Linked DNA regions of Arabidopsis thaliana. The protein of the gene in region 2 interacts with the protein of the main gene of each other region in a pairwise test. Each region holds a gene or a part of one and is shown on either strand. Other genes may lie near its edges.

What was found. The genes of interacting proteins can lie anywhere in the genome.
Region 1: the proteins of AT3G26370 (region 2) and ABCA7 interact in a protein complementation assay, tested with the Arabidopsis thaliana proteins (one large-scale study listed by BioGRID).

What each region holds. Positions count from the first base shown.
Region 1 is NC_003074.8:17,622,463-17,630,446, reverse strand, and holds ABCA7 (ABC2 homolog 6), read right to left. Parts: upstream 6,108-7,984; 5' UTR 5,948-6,107; coding exon 5,876-5,947; intron 5,688-5,875; coding exon 5,321-5,687; intron 5,244-5,320; coding exon 5,164-5,243; intron 5,088-5,163; coding exon 4,943-5,087; intron 4,701-4,942; coding exon 4,581-4,700; intron 4,488-4,580; coding exon 4,363-4,487; intron 4,247-4,362; coding exon 4,088-4,246; intron 3,974-4,087; coding exon 3,811-3,973; intron 3,722-3,810; coding exon 3,596-3,721; intron 3,501-3,595; coding exon 3,417-3,500; intron 3,316-3,416; coding exon 2,969-3,315; intron 2,889-2,968; coding exon 2,688-2,888; intron 2,548-2,687; coding exon 2,438-2,547; intron 2,347-2,437; coding exon 2,262-2,346; intron 2,184-2,261; coding exon 2,055-2,183; intron 1,970-2,054; coding exon 1,475-1,969; 3' UTR 1,162-1,474; downstream 1-1,161. Other genes in the region: ABCA8 (ABC2 homolog 7), read right to left, coding at 9-153, 235-299, 391-703, 792-863; ABCA6 (ABC2 homolog 5), read right to left, coding at 7,769-7,984.
Region 2 is NC_003074.8:9,654,350-9,661,221, reverse strand, and holds AT3G26370 (O-fucosyltransferase family protein), read right to left. Parts: upstream 4,543-6,872; 5' UTR 4,337-4,542; coding exon 4,028-4,336; intron 3,853-4,027; coding exon 3,802-3,852; intron 3,710-3,801; coding exon 3,619-3,709; intron 3,449-3,618; coding exon 3,372-3,448; intron 3,248-3,371; coding exon 3,159-3,247; intron 3,066-3,158; coding exon 2,946-3,065; intron 2,771-2,945; coding exon 2,654-2,770; intron 2,558-2,653; coding exon 2,414-2,557; intron 2,326-2,413; coding exon 2,202-2,325; coding exon of another isoform or gene 2,139-2,201; exon of another isoform or gene 2,114-2,138; coding exon 1,922-2,113; intron 1,841-1,921; coding exon 1,481-1,840; 3' UTR 1,277-1,480; downstream 1-1,276. Other genes in the region: AT3G26380 (Melibiase family protein), read right to left, coding at 6-67, 157-331, 412-669, 754-907, 1,003-1,082; AT3G26360 (Ribosomal protein S21 family protein), read left to right, coding at 4,849-5,144, 5,250-5,259; AT3G26350 (proline-rich receptor-like kinase), read left to right, coding at 6,492-6,872. UniProt on the Arabidopsis thaliana protein: Glycosyltransferase involved in the biosynthesis of pectic type-II arabinogalactans.

The sequences.
Region 1 (7,984 bases), 8.0 Mb from region 2:
TGTTAGACCTTTAGGGAAAGCAAGAGGTGATTGGTGAATTAAGATTGAGAAAGAAGAGTTTGGTGAGCATTCATGTTGGATGTTGTAGATGGGAAGATCTGAGATGAAAGCGGAGTCCATATGATTGGTGTATGCAGGGAAAGATGATGAGCCCTGCATATATATATTAGAAATCAGAGACTGAGAAACACACAAAAACATATTCATGATGTAACATTGTTTCATGAAACTTACCAAGACATAATAGGCTAAATCTCCATCAAATCCAGATGAATTGCTATACATATTTCCCATTAGAACTAGCAAAAGAAAAAATTTGTTGACCATAGAAAAAGAGTTACATATAAAAATTTCACATCTCAAAGGAGTAGATTGATAGGGTTTATATACTATTTCCGAGCGACTGATTATTCCCGGTGAAGAGAAAAGTTGCAGGGGAAGTATGGCTCGGGTATGGGATCGCGGCTCGGTATTCAGGAGCCGGGATCTGAAGTAGTGGAGTCCATTGTGGTGGATTAGGAATGGCACAAAAAGCTGCTTGCTCTGAAGTCGAATACCTTAAGCCGCAAGTTTTCTCGTTGCAGCCACATTGACCATGGACGTCGTTGAATTGAGTGTCGAAGAGCATTTGAATAACAAGGAGAAGTAAACAGAGAAAGAAAGGGATTGTGATGAGTCGTATGTTGCTCCATATGTTCCGTTTCTGCATCAAAGAACAAAAGGAAACAAAACCTCATTGTAAACTTTTTACTCTGTCTTAGCCGTTTTAGATATTAAAAGTGTATTGAAACCTGGAAAACTAAATTCTTCCTCAGTAAAGCGTCGGCTTGAGTCAAGAAACTTGCAGGACTAGAATCCGCCATCGCAGAGAATATGAGAAGGTTTGATGGAGTTGAATAGTTTTTAAGAAGTCTCTAAATGTTGTTTTTTAGATGTGCACACTAAAAATAACAAGAATTAAGAGATAACAGTTTAACTATACACGTTACTGAAGTGGCATACAGGTATTGGACAATAGCACTGTGATTTTTTGTATGATATTTCGTGTAGGTCAAGTAATAGTATTCATTTGCATCACTCACCTAAGAAATGAACTCTCTACCAAAACCTACACAAATATGAATATAATAAGATAGATATGGTTTTTTATTTTCATTATTACGACAATGTCGAAAATATGGGTTTATTGCTACCAACCAACTTTAATAGCCGATACATGAACTCCGAAACAGAGTAGAACAAATGGTTATGACATTGAAAAACATCTCCTAGTGTTGAAGTGTCGCCTCTTTGCTTCAGGAGCGCTAGTAATTGTTTCAAGTATAATCTCATTGAAAAATCAGGAACTTGTAACATATTTCCAGTAATATACATGAAATCTTATAAACACTAATTTCGTATCATGTGGTAGCAATTTGACATAATAAGCAAATATTGACATTGGACAAAATATGGACGTATGAATCTAAGAAGATCAAGAGAAGACATTAAAGGCCTGACCGTTTCTCACAACCTTGATGAAGACATCTTCAAGAGTTGTGTCGGCGAGTCCCCAAGCGAAAACGGTAAAGTTGCTCTTCGCCTTCTCCACAGCCTGGAACACCTCTGAGATCCGAACCTCTTCTTTTGGAAGCTCAAACTTCTGAGTCCCTGCGATGTGATATATCTTCTTGGCGTTTGGGGAGACATCTTTAATTAGCTTCTCCACGTTTTGCTCGTGTTCTGAAGATGTTGTCATCGTAAACACATAAGATCCACCGTACCTTCCCTTCAGCTCTTTTGGGTTGCCAATGCATTGCAAGCCTCCGTCCACAAAAATACCCAATCGGTCACATAGAAATTCTGCTTCTTCCATTGAGTGGGTTGTGAGGATTATCGCGGTGTTTTGTTTTGCACGCTTGATGACAGTCCATAGGTTCTTTCTCGAAGCTGGATCAAGTCCTGTACTTGGCTCATCCATATAAACCACCTTCAAAGGAAATGAGGACGAGTCTGGTAAGCTTGAAAGAGCTTATCCCTTTTGGTTTACTATTTTTAAAGGCTTAGTGTTGTACCTTAGGATTCCCGATAAGTGAAATGGCTACGCTCAGCCGTCTTTTCATACCTCCGCTATATTTCCCAGCAGGCTTGTCCGCAACTCCTCCATGGAAAAGGTTGACACTCTTAAGAGACTCTTCCACAGCCTGATGCAGATAAGTAACGATGAGAAATAGATTGAGCAATGGAAGTAATATAGAAGGTGAGCGAGATTGATAACATACTTGGTTGAGATCAGCGCCTTTGAGATTCTTAAGTCTCCCATAAAACAGCAGATGTTCCCTTCCTGTCAGTGTTTCCCATAGCAAACTGGTATACGACAGACAATAAGAGAATGATTAAACAACTATATCATCTATAGTGAAGAACAAAATGAAATGAATTTCAAGAATTTAATTACTCATGCTGCGGGCATACGCCCATGCTGGTGTACACTCTGTCCATATCATTGCATATATCCAAACCTTGAACAAGTGCTGTCCCAGATGTCGGTTTCAGGAGCCCAGTCATCTGACAAAGAAAACAAAGGACATATTACTAAGGCTGACGCACAATTCGTTTGGGCATACACTAGATAGAGTTTCTCGATCAGCAATGATATTGGAAGCTAAGGTCTAATGTGCACAAAATATTTTGTCCATTTGACTGACCATATTGATGAAGGAAGTCTTTCCAGCACCATTGGGACCTAACATGCCGAAGCATTCTCCTGAAGGCACTGCAAGAGATAACCCACGAACTGCCAATTTAGGCGGGTTCCCATCTCTACCAGGATACACCTTCTTCAGGTTGTCACATACAATCGCATGGCTTGTGCTCGACTCAAGCATCAACCGCTCGACTTTTTTACTCTGATTGGAACATTTTTTGTTATCAGAACCAGTATATATTATGAAAAACATGAAATATATTGTAAAGTCTTTGGACATACCTCGTGAGTAACATCTGGTTTTTCCATATCAACTGAGACTTTGGAGCCTTGCCTCTGCAAACTAGGTCTTCTCAAAGAAGGAGATTTCTTGAAAGGGTTTTGCAAGAAGAACAACGGGTTTCTTCCGGATGAAGATATCTTATCGATATAGTATGCTGCAATGAGTGCAAGAAACCATTCAACGACAATGATGTAAAAAACATCATCCATTGCACTATCACCAAAATCTTTCCACTTCATCCCATCTTCCCCTCTCAAGTTTCCCCGGAAAGCAAATTGCGCCAACTCATACAGGCCACGGTATAAGGAGAAGCCAGGATATAACTCCATGACAATAATCCAGCCTCCTGGAAAATTATAATTCATTTGCAATCGTGGTCAGTTGTGAAAACACATAACAGAGTGTATTAAATATCTTTCTTGAAGTTAATTAATCATAATAACTTACTAGGGAATGATGAATCTTCAATCAGAAAGTTGAGTAGAAACAAACCCAAAAGTCCAGATCCAAACACGTATATGTAAGAAGCAACTATGATTAAGACATATAGAGAAAAGCTCATTAGTTCCTTTAAACCCCAGTAGCATGTTCTTGATTAAATTCAAGAAGCACGATGTTCTTAGTACCTGTTGATGTCTTGACTTTTGAAAATACTGAAGAAACTAGAAAGGCAAGGGCGATTTGCAGATTTAAATAGAGAAAATAGAATACGAACTGGATGCTGTAGGAATTAAGCCGAAAGAACTTCAGTCCTGCAGGGAACCAACAACATTAAAGACTCATATTGACAAAAAAACATAATGTATTGTAAGAAATGTATTAACCGAAAGGCTTCAATTACCTATTGCTGACCCGAATATCATCAGGCATATAACGTATAACACGGATATGGTAAGGAAATAGGCGTAGGAAATCATCCAATAAGGACCATCTCCTAGGCCATGCATTTTCATTATAATTCTTAGATGTTGCTGTTTCTCATACACTAATGACGACAAGATCACCTGCATACAAATGGCTCTAGATATGAATTTCGTATCTTACGCTTGGAGAAAGCAGAATTCTTGTTGTTTCCAAGATTTATCCATGAGGGTGAGTATTATTGAAGGCAAACTTACAGGGAACAGAAGAAGAATAACCCAGGTGAAGAAAAGGGGGCCAATTAGAGACGCAATGTCCAGACGAAGACTTGTTTCTGGTTTAGGCATTTCTTTGACATATTCAAACAACATCCTTGTCCCCGGTCCTTGTAGAAATTGAAGGTAAGCATTTGACACCTGCAGTTTGGTAAAGTGTAAGCATCGGTTCAATAAAGAAAGTGGTGCTACATGGTAAAGAGCAAAGTGAGAATACAATGATGAAGGATGTCTTGAGTAAATTGTTGTTTTCTTACCAAATTGACTGAGCGGGGAACACGGATCAACTTTATAAGTCTATTTCCTGCATCGTCCTTGTACGTTGAATTATACCAGATGTGCACATTAAAATTGTTCCTATCAGTGTTCAAGAGATCATATGCTAAACCAACAACAAAATCAGACATGAAGAGTCAGAAATCTCATGAGCTTATTAAAGATTATTATAGATAACCCAACTGAGAAGTTGACGAACCTGCAGCGATCTCATTTATCTTTCCCTCGGGGTTTCCTTTCTTATAACCCTTGAAAATCTTATCATTGACCTCTTTGGAGGTATTTGTCCAAAGATTTGATCCTTGAACACATCTCAACTCTGGTTTTGTCACAAACATTAAGTTAATCAACTACAACGATGTTTCCATGAAAGATAACTATGAGTGAGGACAATATATTGCAGAAAGATATATCATGTTCAACAAGATCGGGATACGAAAACAGAGAAAGCAACCAGATTTCATTAAGCTAACACTGATATAAGCATATATAACATCTAGTATCCCTCTTAAACTTTTTTAGTTGACATCTTAAACATCAATGGGATTAAAAACTCAATACCTTTCTCAAACTTGAGAGGTGGTTGTTCGAATGAGAACGGAAACGTAGCATTTAGAATGCACCGAGGTTGGATATTGTAGATGGAAAGATTTGAGGCAATCCCTGGATCAAGATAATTGGTGAAATCTGCCTCAACTGTTGTACCCTGAAACATGAGGTCAAGAAAGCTAAGAAACACATTTCATAATGGAAACAAACAGAAACCAACCAAAAAAACTTACCAAAACATTGTTGGCTAAAGTACGCAAAATCTCAGAGGCGTTCGCCGACACAGAACTAGTGAACAGATTCTCAGATACAGCTAAAGAAAACATGAAGATAAGTTCCAGTGTAGGTACACAAGAACAGAAACATAAAAAAGAAGGAAAAGAGACATACTTGTTCCAAGGGAACGGTTATTTCCAGTAAAGAGTATAGTAACAGGACAAGATCCTGTTCTTCTGCAAGAATCATCACGAAGACCTCTAACATCGCGACTCTCAGGACGCGGGATTTGTAACAAAGGAGGCCATAGTGGAGGACGAGGGATAGAACAAAAGAAGGCTTGATCCGGTTTAGAATGTTCTAAACCGCAAAGCTCTCTTTGGCATTTTCCAGCTCTATTTCTTTCGATGCATTCACAACCACAACGATTATCAGCAGAGTTGTTAACTTGTGTATCGAACAGGATTTGTATAATCACTAGAAGTATACAGAGGTAGAATGGGATCATGATTAGCCGTATATTGCTCCATAGATTCCGTTTCTACACCAACACACAATTTACACAAAGACATAATTAGAACAGAATCTACTCAATAAATCAGCCACTAATTTTGTTGTGGAAACTGATCTATTAAACGAAAATCCCAGAACAGAATCTTACTCACATTAAACGAAAATTTGTATGTGTATAATTGGATTGCGTAGAGGAAAAGAAAACGGAAAAAGTACCTGATAGGTTAAGTTTTTCCTAAGCAAGGCATTGGCTCTCGTTGAGAAACTGGCAGGACCAGGATCCGCCATTGATGAAGGTAACAACCTTCGCTTTTCTCTGTGTATTAGATTCTGTTTTTTAGGGTTAGTAAAAATTGAATCCTAATGGAAACCCAATTTTTGAACTTAGAAGGAACAAATCGAGTCACCGCCTTTTGGTTTATAGCAGGCGGAGGAAAGAAGAACAGAGATCAGATACGGAATGTGAAATTACAGTAATACCCTTGTGCACACGCTTTAATTTCTCGTTAAGTATACCTTTAATTAGTTATTTTTCTCGAATATATTAGTATTGTTTTTTTGGGGTTATTCTTTTGGTCAAATAACAAAAAGGTAATTTTACGAAATCGAGAAAGTGACAATGGAGAATATTTTCAATGTAAATTTGGTAGGAAGCTGCGAAGGAGAGTGATGCCACGACCAATAGATTCTTCGACTAGTGGAAGAGGTGAGTTTCAATTATTTGTTTACTGTATATTTGTATTTGTATAAAGATGATTCATACGTCATCTCAGACGTAATCACGTGTGAACATAATCGATTAAACTAGTCTATTTTAATGTCTCACGTAAAAGTGTCGGGTAATTTGGTTGACTATGATAATTTTTTGACCATTTTAAAAAGATTTGTTCAAATCTAAACATTTTTTTCCAATGTGGCAGTTACTTGGACAAGAAGCAAAAATGTTATGATGTCCTAAGAAAAATTCTTATTTCAGTTTATATTTTTACTAGCAGTCTTATTTCAGTTTTCAAACATAAAAAGTCTTTGCACACAATAAAAAACACAAAAGTCTTTGATTTAATAAGTAGCAGTTTTAAATACTTTATACTCTATGGTCCATTACAGGGAAAATAAATTTACTTTGGTTTGATTTCAGTTTGAATGTGTTCATGATAATGTCATCTTTAAATTTATTTTTTGAAAAATTCCTGGTCTAAAGTTAATTAGGAATCCTCCATAAATTTTTAGTGAAATTTGTGATTTTCATAGACATCAAGACAATTTCTTATTTCGGAGAAGAACCAATTGATATAATTAAGATTTAATTGGTAAAAAATTTGGTTTAACAGTTTTGATTTATACTCCCTCTGTTCCTTTTTTTATATTGTTTAGAAAAACACATATATTAAGAAAACATATTAAATTTTGATTATAAATGTATTATTTTTAGTGTTTTACAATTTTTTATAACTCTAAACCAATGATAACTAACTATTTTTCTTGAAAATTACAATTCACCAATATTAACCAATAAATATTGCATGGAAAACTTAAAAAATTAATTTCTTAAAAACAAATTTTTTTTCTAAACAATCAAACAAAAAGGAACAACAGAGTATTTTGTAGTCTTTTTTAAAAATTGTCTTTCTTTTTAGAAATGTTGTCTCCGGCAGCTAACATAGTTTTCAGTGATATTTTCTTTTTTCGATGGCATATGAAATTTTACCAATGTTTAAGTAAAATTCAATGAAAAAAAGACCTAATTACTATCTTTTAATATAGATACTATTTTCGAAATTCTAAATTTTAAATCGTAAACCCTATATGAATTAAATGGTAAGATATACATTTAGGATCTGAATGGTAGATGAAATAAAATTTCATATTCAGTGGTTTATCCACAATTAAATATAGCCACGTTTAAATAAAAAAATTGTGGTTACATGCATCATCCACAAACAAACTAATACAAGACCTCAGACTAATTCGCAAACTTGCAGGCGAAGAGCCAACAATGTACATGAATCAAACCTCTGCATTATCAATTTATCAAACATGAACAAGCAAAATATTGACGTGGAACAGACATAACTAATAATCTTAAAAGTATTCAAAAGAAGACATTAGTTAAAGGCCGGTTTTAGCAACCTTGATGAAAACATCTTCAAGAGTTGTGTCCGCAAATCCCCAAGCAAATACAGTGAAATTGCGTTTCGCATTCTCCACGGCCTGAAAGACTTCTGAAATTCGAACCTCCTCCTTTGGGAACTCAAACTTCTGAGTCCCTGCGATGTGATATATCTTTCTTGCATTTGAGGAAACTTCTTGAACCAATGTCTCCAC
Region 2 (6,872 bases):
TGTACCTCTGACACATAAGTTATCTCCTCTATATTGAAGTCAGTGCCAAATACGCAGTCATGTTTTACTAAAGACCAAGAAAGTGAGACAAGATTGAGATAATCATATATCGAATAAAGTTAAAGAAGGTTACGGAAATGAAGTCGATTCTCTTACTGAAATCAACGCCCCATTCTGCATATTGACGATAAAGAGACCTCAAGAATGCTTTTCCTGCACCTAACTTGGTATTCACACTCATGAACCCATGCGACATCCAAACACAAGCCCTCTCCTTGATCCCAATATCTTTCGCTCGCCACTGTCTACCTGATTCTTCATAAGCACCTCCCTTCAACCATTAAAAGATTCACTTGTTGATAACTTCCAAACAAACTTCATAAACTCAGAAAGAATCAATCAACTCAATACCTTAACACTATCCATAACGAGACTATTTGCGTTATAAGCTTGTGTGCTGATTCCTCCCATAACATGAATCCCAAACTTCAAACCCATTCTATGAACTTTCTCAGCAACTTCAGTGAAACCTTTACCGCCTCTAGAAGATGGCCATCTACCTGGATCAGGATGCAATCTTCCCCATTCATCAATCACATCAAACCCAAGAGAATCCACATAAGCTCCTTCAACTTTCTTTCTATACCAAAGGTAATCCACCACAACATACTGTATCCAAATCAACACACACAAACACAAGCAATTAAAAACCTAAACTTTTACATTCTAAAGGATAAAGAAACTCACAATTACCTGATAACCATGAGGAAGAAGACGCTTAGAAACAATTTCAGCACTCTGCAAGAACTCAGCTTCAGAGATAGTCCAACAAAAGGAATCGTACGAATTCCATCCTCTTGGAGGAAAGCTAGCATGTTGTTGCCTCGACCTTGCTTCAATCGATAAACTGAAAAAGACGAAACTTTTGTGATTGATCGATCACTCAAACACCACCCACTCAAAAACCAAAATCAAATTCAAAAACCCAGTGAAGCGGAGTACCTAAAAATGGATAGATTAAAGATGATGAAGAAGACAGTGGACCGGGTCGACCCGGTTTTCTCTACGGATAGTCCGGTCATAGAGATGAGAACTGATTACGATAGCTTCTGATTTTGTTTTCCTCTTTTGTTGTTGAGAACCTGAGAGTAAGAGAGAAGACAACACGCAATGGTTGTGTTAATGGCGGGTACTATTAGAGAGCGTGACAAAAAATTAAGAATTGGATTAGTAACCGTTGAGCTAATTTTCTTTTAATTAAAGTTTAGTGCATCAATTTGATCAAATTTAATATAAAAAAGAAACTTTTTTTTCATCACTAGGAACTTTACATAATATCAAAATGATTACAAAGATGGTAAATGAAGACTTCAAAGATTTGAAAGGTCAAAAAAGAAGAAGAAGAAGAAGAAAACTACGAATCTCTATAGTTTGTTGCTCCTCATCAGACAAAATCCAAGACCAAACAAAAGCATCATCATCAAGCTTTACACATGCATGGAGTGAGAGGATTTTCCCAAAGATCATAGTTAGGGAAAGTTTCTTCAGGTAAACCGGTTCGTGTTTGATGGGTTACAACTACATCTTCCACAAAAGTTGCCCATCCCATGTAAGGATCCCCAAATGATTTCGACATCAACCCTTTATCCGGTTTGATTGATTTCTGGCGATGCCCCATATATCTACGCGCTCCGATGATCAGTTTTGCAAAGTTTCCACCGTGTGTCATCACAAATACATCTGATTTCAAGCACACCAAGAAATCTAGAGCCGCAAGACTTGTAACGTGTTTTCTAAACGTTGTTAGTTCCTCTTTGCCTGCTAAATCCTCCTTTGTTACCTGATTCAAAGGACAGTTAATGTGAGAGACAAGTTTGTGCTGATTCATCAAAGAATTATAAGAGTCCGGTGTTGTGCTTACCAAATTTGGGAACATGTTTCTTAGTGGAGCCATACGGTTTTGACCGCCATAGACTTGACCAGATGCAACATAGATTTGTGTTTCTTTTGGATAGCCCATTGCACGTAGGATCACAGCAACTTCTCCTGGCTCAAGAGGGCATCGACCTTCTTTGCGCTTCTGCAAGGCGAGCTGCCAGAGATGGGAACCATTCTGCAATATATGTCAAGAAATTTCATTAAGGTAGCGGTTGAGGTTGTTTAGCCACCAAAAGAAGTTGACAACTGCTTATAAATGTCACCTTGAAACGCCGAGGCCATTCCTTTTGTCTGTATTCTGCCATTTTAACTTTCTCTTCCCTTGTCCCCACAAAATCACAGAACGATAGACCAACCATTCCTTTCTCGAATCTAAGATGAAGAGCCCTATACAAGAGACATGGGTATAGTTTTAAGTTGATATAATGCATATGGTCCTAAGTTATAACAAAGTCGAATCTCTGATATGGCATACATATATGGATTTGGATTTCCAGTGCGATTTCTCATTCTAGAAACAAGTGAATCAGCCATCTGCTCTATCTCTGGAAGAAATTTGAGAGCATGATAATTTACACGGCATCGTAATCTGTTGATTTCTTGAGGTACATTGTCATACCTGAAAAAATTTCCAGCATCACAAGAATAAATCATTCATTGTTTATAAGACGATTTCCAAAATCTGAGCACTAAACTATAGGAATATTGGTTATACCCAAGTCGATCGACAAAAGGCTTCAAGGCCATTATCTTCTTCTCCTTTATCCGAGGTAAAACATTGTCAATATAAAATTGGGCTGCTGCATATTTGGGAATGTTTTTGACTGTTCTTCTGCAGAAGATAAATAAATAACTTGGTCAACATCATATCTGATTAAAAAATACAGATCGATTTTTAAATCAGAGATATACACAAGGAGCACCCAGTGACGCCATAATTCCACAAGCTAACTTTTGAAATCGTCCAACAAGTACATCATCAACAAATAATGAGTTGACAAGCAAACCTTATACTAGAGAATAGCTCTGCTTTGTCAGTGAACCAGTCAGGTATGTCTCGAACAATTCGGACATCATCCTTCAAGTAATCAATGAAATGATCTACATCAAAAATGTCTTCAAATTTTCTGCAAAAGAAAGTTAACAAGCTCAGTAAACCAAAAAGAAAATAGAGAAGTAATTCAAGATGAAATGAAATCAATATCTGAATATGATTTTACGTTGTGTCTTTCCATATTTGGTCCTGCTTCAGTACTGGTAGAATCAGTGTTGCATTCATAATCTTGGCAACAGCTACTGCGTTGCAGATCTGGAAACAAAAGGGCATGAATTCAAGATTGGACGATGGCAAGAAGAACAACAGCCATTTAGACATTGATCCATGATTGGATAATGGCGAGAAGAAAAAGAGATAAAAGTTGGAAGATACATACAGCAATTCGCTGCTGATTCAAACCACCTTCAGCATGAATGAATACATAGCCATTTGTTTCATTCTCAGGAGGAAGATCTGAAAAAAACAGTTGACACAATCTAATAAGCTAACCAAGGAAAAAGACTTGAACTTTCACGAAAAGACAGATCAATAACACATGACAATGTGTTTCGACGAAAAAAAAAAAATAAAAAAAAAAAATAACACATGACAATGAAAATGACAATGCTCTAGCCCTTCAATACCTGAGATTCCACCAATCCGCCGCTCAGCACAAGGCTTCCAAGAAGTTGTTGCAGATAAAGGATTCTCCCAAGGAGAAGGTGACTCTTTTACCTTACAAATGCAAACCAACACACAATTAAATTTACAGGATTCAAAGCTTATGCATTCAACAAAACACATAACCAAAGTTTTCAAACACTTACATGAGGACAGTTTAGCACAATCCCATCTTTTTTACATAAATAAGGAGCATTCTGCAGAAGATAGACATAGAAGCAATCTTAGTCTGAGAACAATGTCAATCCAAATCCACCTAAATAAACAAACCCCTTTACTCAAAACAAAGCTAAATACTTTTCCAAATCGATTCCACAGTTAGAACATAGAGCCTTGAAGATCTCAATTCCTAGATCGAAGGAAGAGACTTACCAAGTGATTAATAATCCCATAAACTGAGATCAAGCTAGCAATAGCGAGAATCAAAATCAATAGAAGCGAGATTTTATTCTTCTGAGGAGAAACCCTAGGATCATCACCGAAGAAAGGAAACAAAGAGTGAAACCAGATCGGACGGTCTCGATCTCTAGAAGGATGACGTGGGCGACCATCTTCGTCGTCTCCGCCGTTAGGAGAGTGATCGTGTACATGAGGCGATGAAGAATCCTCATCTCCGGCGGCACGTAACGGAGAAGAAGAAGATCGGCTACCGAGAGAGCTCGAGTGCCGTAACTCTGCCATTGCTCGCCTCGGACTAAAAGTCGCCAGCTTAATTTCTATATCCTCTCTTCCTTTTCTTCCTCTTCACTTTCTCTGTAGATAGATACAGTGCTTCTTCAGCTCTACTATGTGGACGCTGCCATTTGAGAGAGAGCTTGGAGATTCGAACACTCCACAGAGAGAGAGAGAAATTAAAGAAGCTTTTTTTTTTTGAAAGGCTTGAATGTTCTTCTTTAAAGTCAATACTCTCTGAATCAAACAGAAGATTAGATTTAAGGATATTTACAAAAACATCCCTATATCTCATAAAACTTACATAACCACCCCTATATTAGTAAATTCTCTGGTTTTTATCTCATTTCCTCCATCGCCTCTTTTTTAACCTAGACATTCTCCATCATCACTCAAATTGGCTCTTTGATTCTCTCCGGCGAGATTCCGACCGGTAAGTCGAATTCAGATCCTATCACTGTCTCTCGTCAATCTCATTTACGTTTTCAGAAACATACTTTTTCAGAAAACAAGTAAAAGAGATGAACACGATAGCGAAGCGAGTTACGGGGTTGGTGACTCGTCCGAGTCTAAACCAGCAGTTGCAGCAAGAGCGAGGGATAAGAGTGAAGGTGTTCTCCAATGATTTAGACAAGGCACTGACGATTTTGCAGAAGAAGATGCAATCGAGTGGAATGGAGAGGCTGATCAAAGGGACTCAGACTCATCACATTAAGAATTCGGAGAAGAAGGTTCTCGCTAGGAAGAATCTTGAACGCAGAATCAAATCCATTGACTTTGCTCGAAAACTCCAATCAATCCTCATCAAGAAAGTCAGGTAATGTTTTCTGATTTTTCTCAAAAGCTTCACATTTTTTAGGGTTTTAATGGTGTTGTTTAGTTTAGTAAGATCTTGCGTATTTCTTATTGTTATTCTTTGCAGAGGTTTATGAGAGCTGAGGTGAAGCAAGAGTGCTGCTATGTTGATCAGTACTAGTATCTGTGTGTGATATAACACAGTTTTACATTTTGAACTTTTGATGAGTTGAATCAATGTGGAATTGGAATTTTGGATTTGATTAGTTGTTTACTCTATGGCTTCTCTTTCGTAAGTTTTCAATGATCTTGAGAAAGAACATCAGATCTTAGGAGTACATGTATTGAAAGTTGTTTCAGGGCAAGTGCGTTGCTTCTCCTGCACTCTGTATGACTGTGTTCTGTGGGTCTCTGTGCTTGAATTGTGTTTCTTGTTCCGGCCATGATTACTCTGAGATTGTTCTGCTTTCTTCGCGTGTAAAGCGTAGGTTAGCTCTTTCCAGGCGTTTACACTTTCATTTTATGTATATTCATGTTACTATATACCATGCCATGCCAAAGAATGGGGATAAGAGATATAGGAAGAACAATTGCACCGAAGATCGTGGAAAATACCTTTTGTATGGGTTTAGTTTTCAGTTTGCTTCCAGCTTTTTTACTAGTATCTGTTTGGTCAGGCTCGATTGGTAGTTGTCTTTGTCAACGTTTGCAGTAACCGGCATTGCAGAGTTGGTTTCATGTTTGATGCTGCAGAAATTGAGCAGAGAACAGAGTATCTACCTGCAGAAGCAACGTGTTTCGCATCAGATTTGCGCTAACTAATCTGCGGCCTTCTTGATCTATGGGAGACATATCTTAACATGTTCATAGTTTACTGACATATTCGACAAGTTTTCGTAAGTTGCTCTGAGAATCAACATCTTTCCCCTGGAGTGAGCTGAAGTAGAAAGATTGACATATTCATGACTGTTACTGTAAGTCCTTAACCCTGTCTCTCCTAAAATCGAGATCTTTTTATTTGGGTTTTAGATAAATTGGACCGAGTAATTACAATTTTCTTAAAAAAACTTTTGAATGAGAAAAAGATACAGAGAATGTTTTTATACTTTTTCATGAGATTAGAAACTGATTTTAATTTTAGTGCAAGGAATCTACAACAAAGATTACTTGCTTCGTGCTATCACTTTCCTTCTTTATTTTGTTTTCTACAACAAAGAATCCTTACTTGAACTTGTCACCAAGTTATTCTCTCCCTCTCTCTATCTCATTTAGAAACTTAAAACAGTTCAAAATCTCTCTGTTCTCATTCTTTCATCTCAAGTCTTACTTAACTTAGTTTCCTTTGATGCTTTTTAGCTTCTTCATCTAAATGTCTCATCATCATCACCATGAAACTAACCCTCATTTTGCGCGAATTCCATCGCAGAATCCACATCTCAAAAGCGGTGGTGCTTCTACCTCACAAACATCTTCGAACCAACCACACATCCCGCCCATTCCGCACCCAAAAAAATCGCACCACAAAACCACGCAACCTCACCCAGTAGCTCCACCAGGAATCCTAATCAAGACTCGTGGTCGCCACCGTGAAAATCCAATCCAAGAACCGAAACATTCTGTAATACCTGTACCATTAAGCCCAGAGGAGAGACTTCCACCACGAAAAACTCAAAACTCATCGAAAAGACCATTGCTATTAAGCCCTGAAGATAATCAACAACAACGACCTCCACCACCACAAGCACCACAA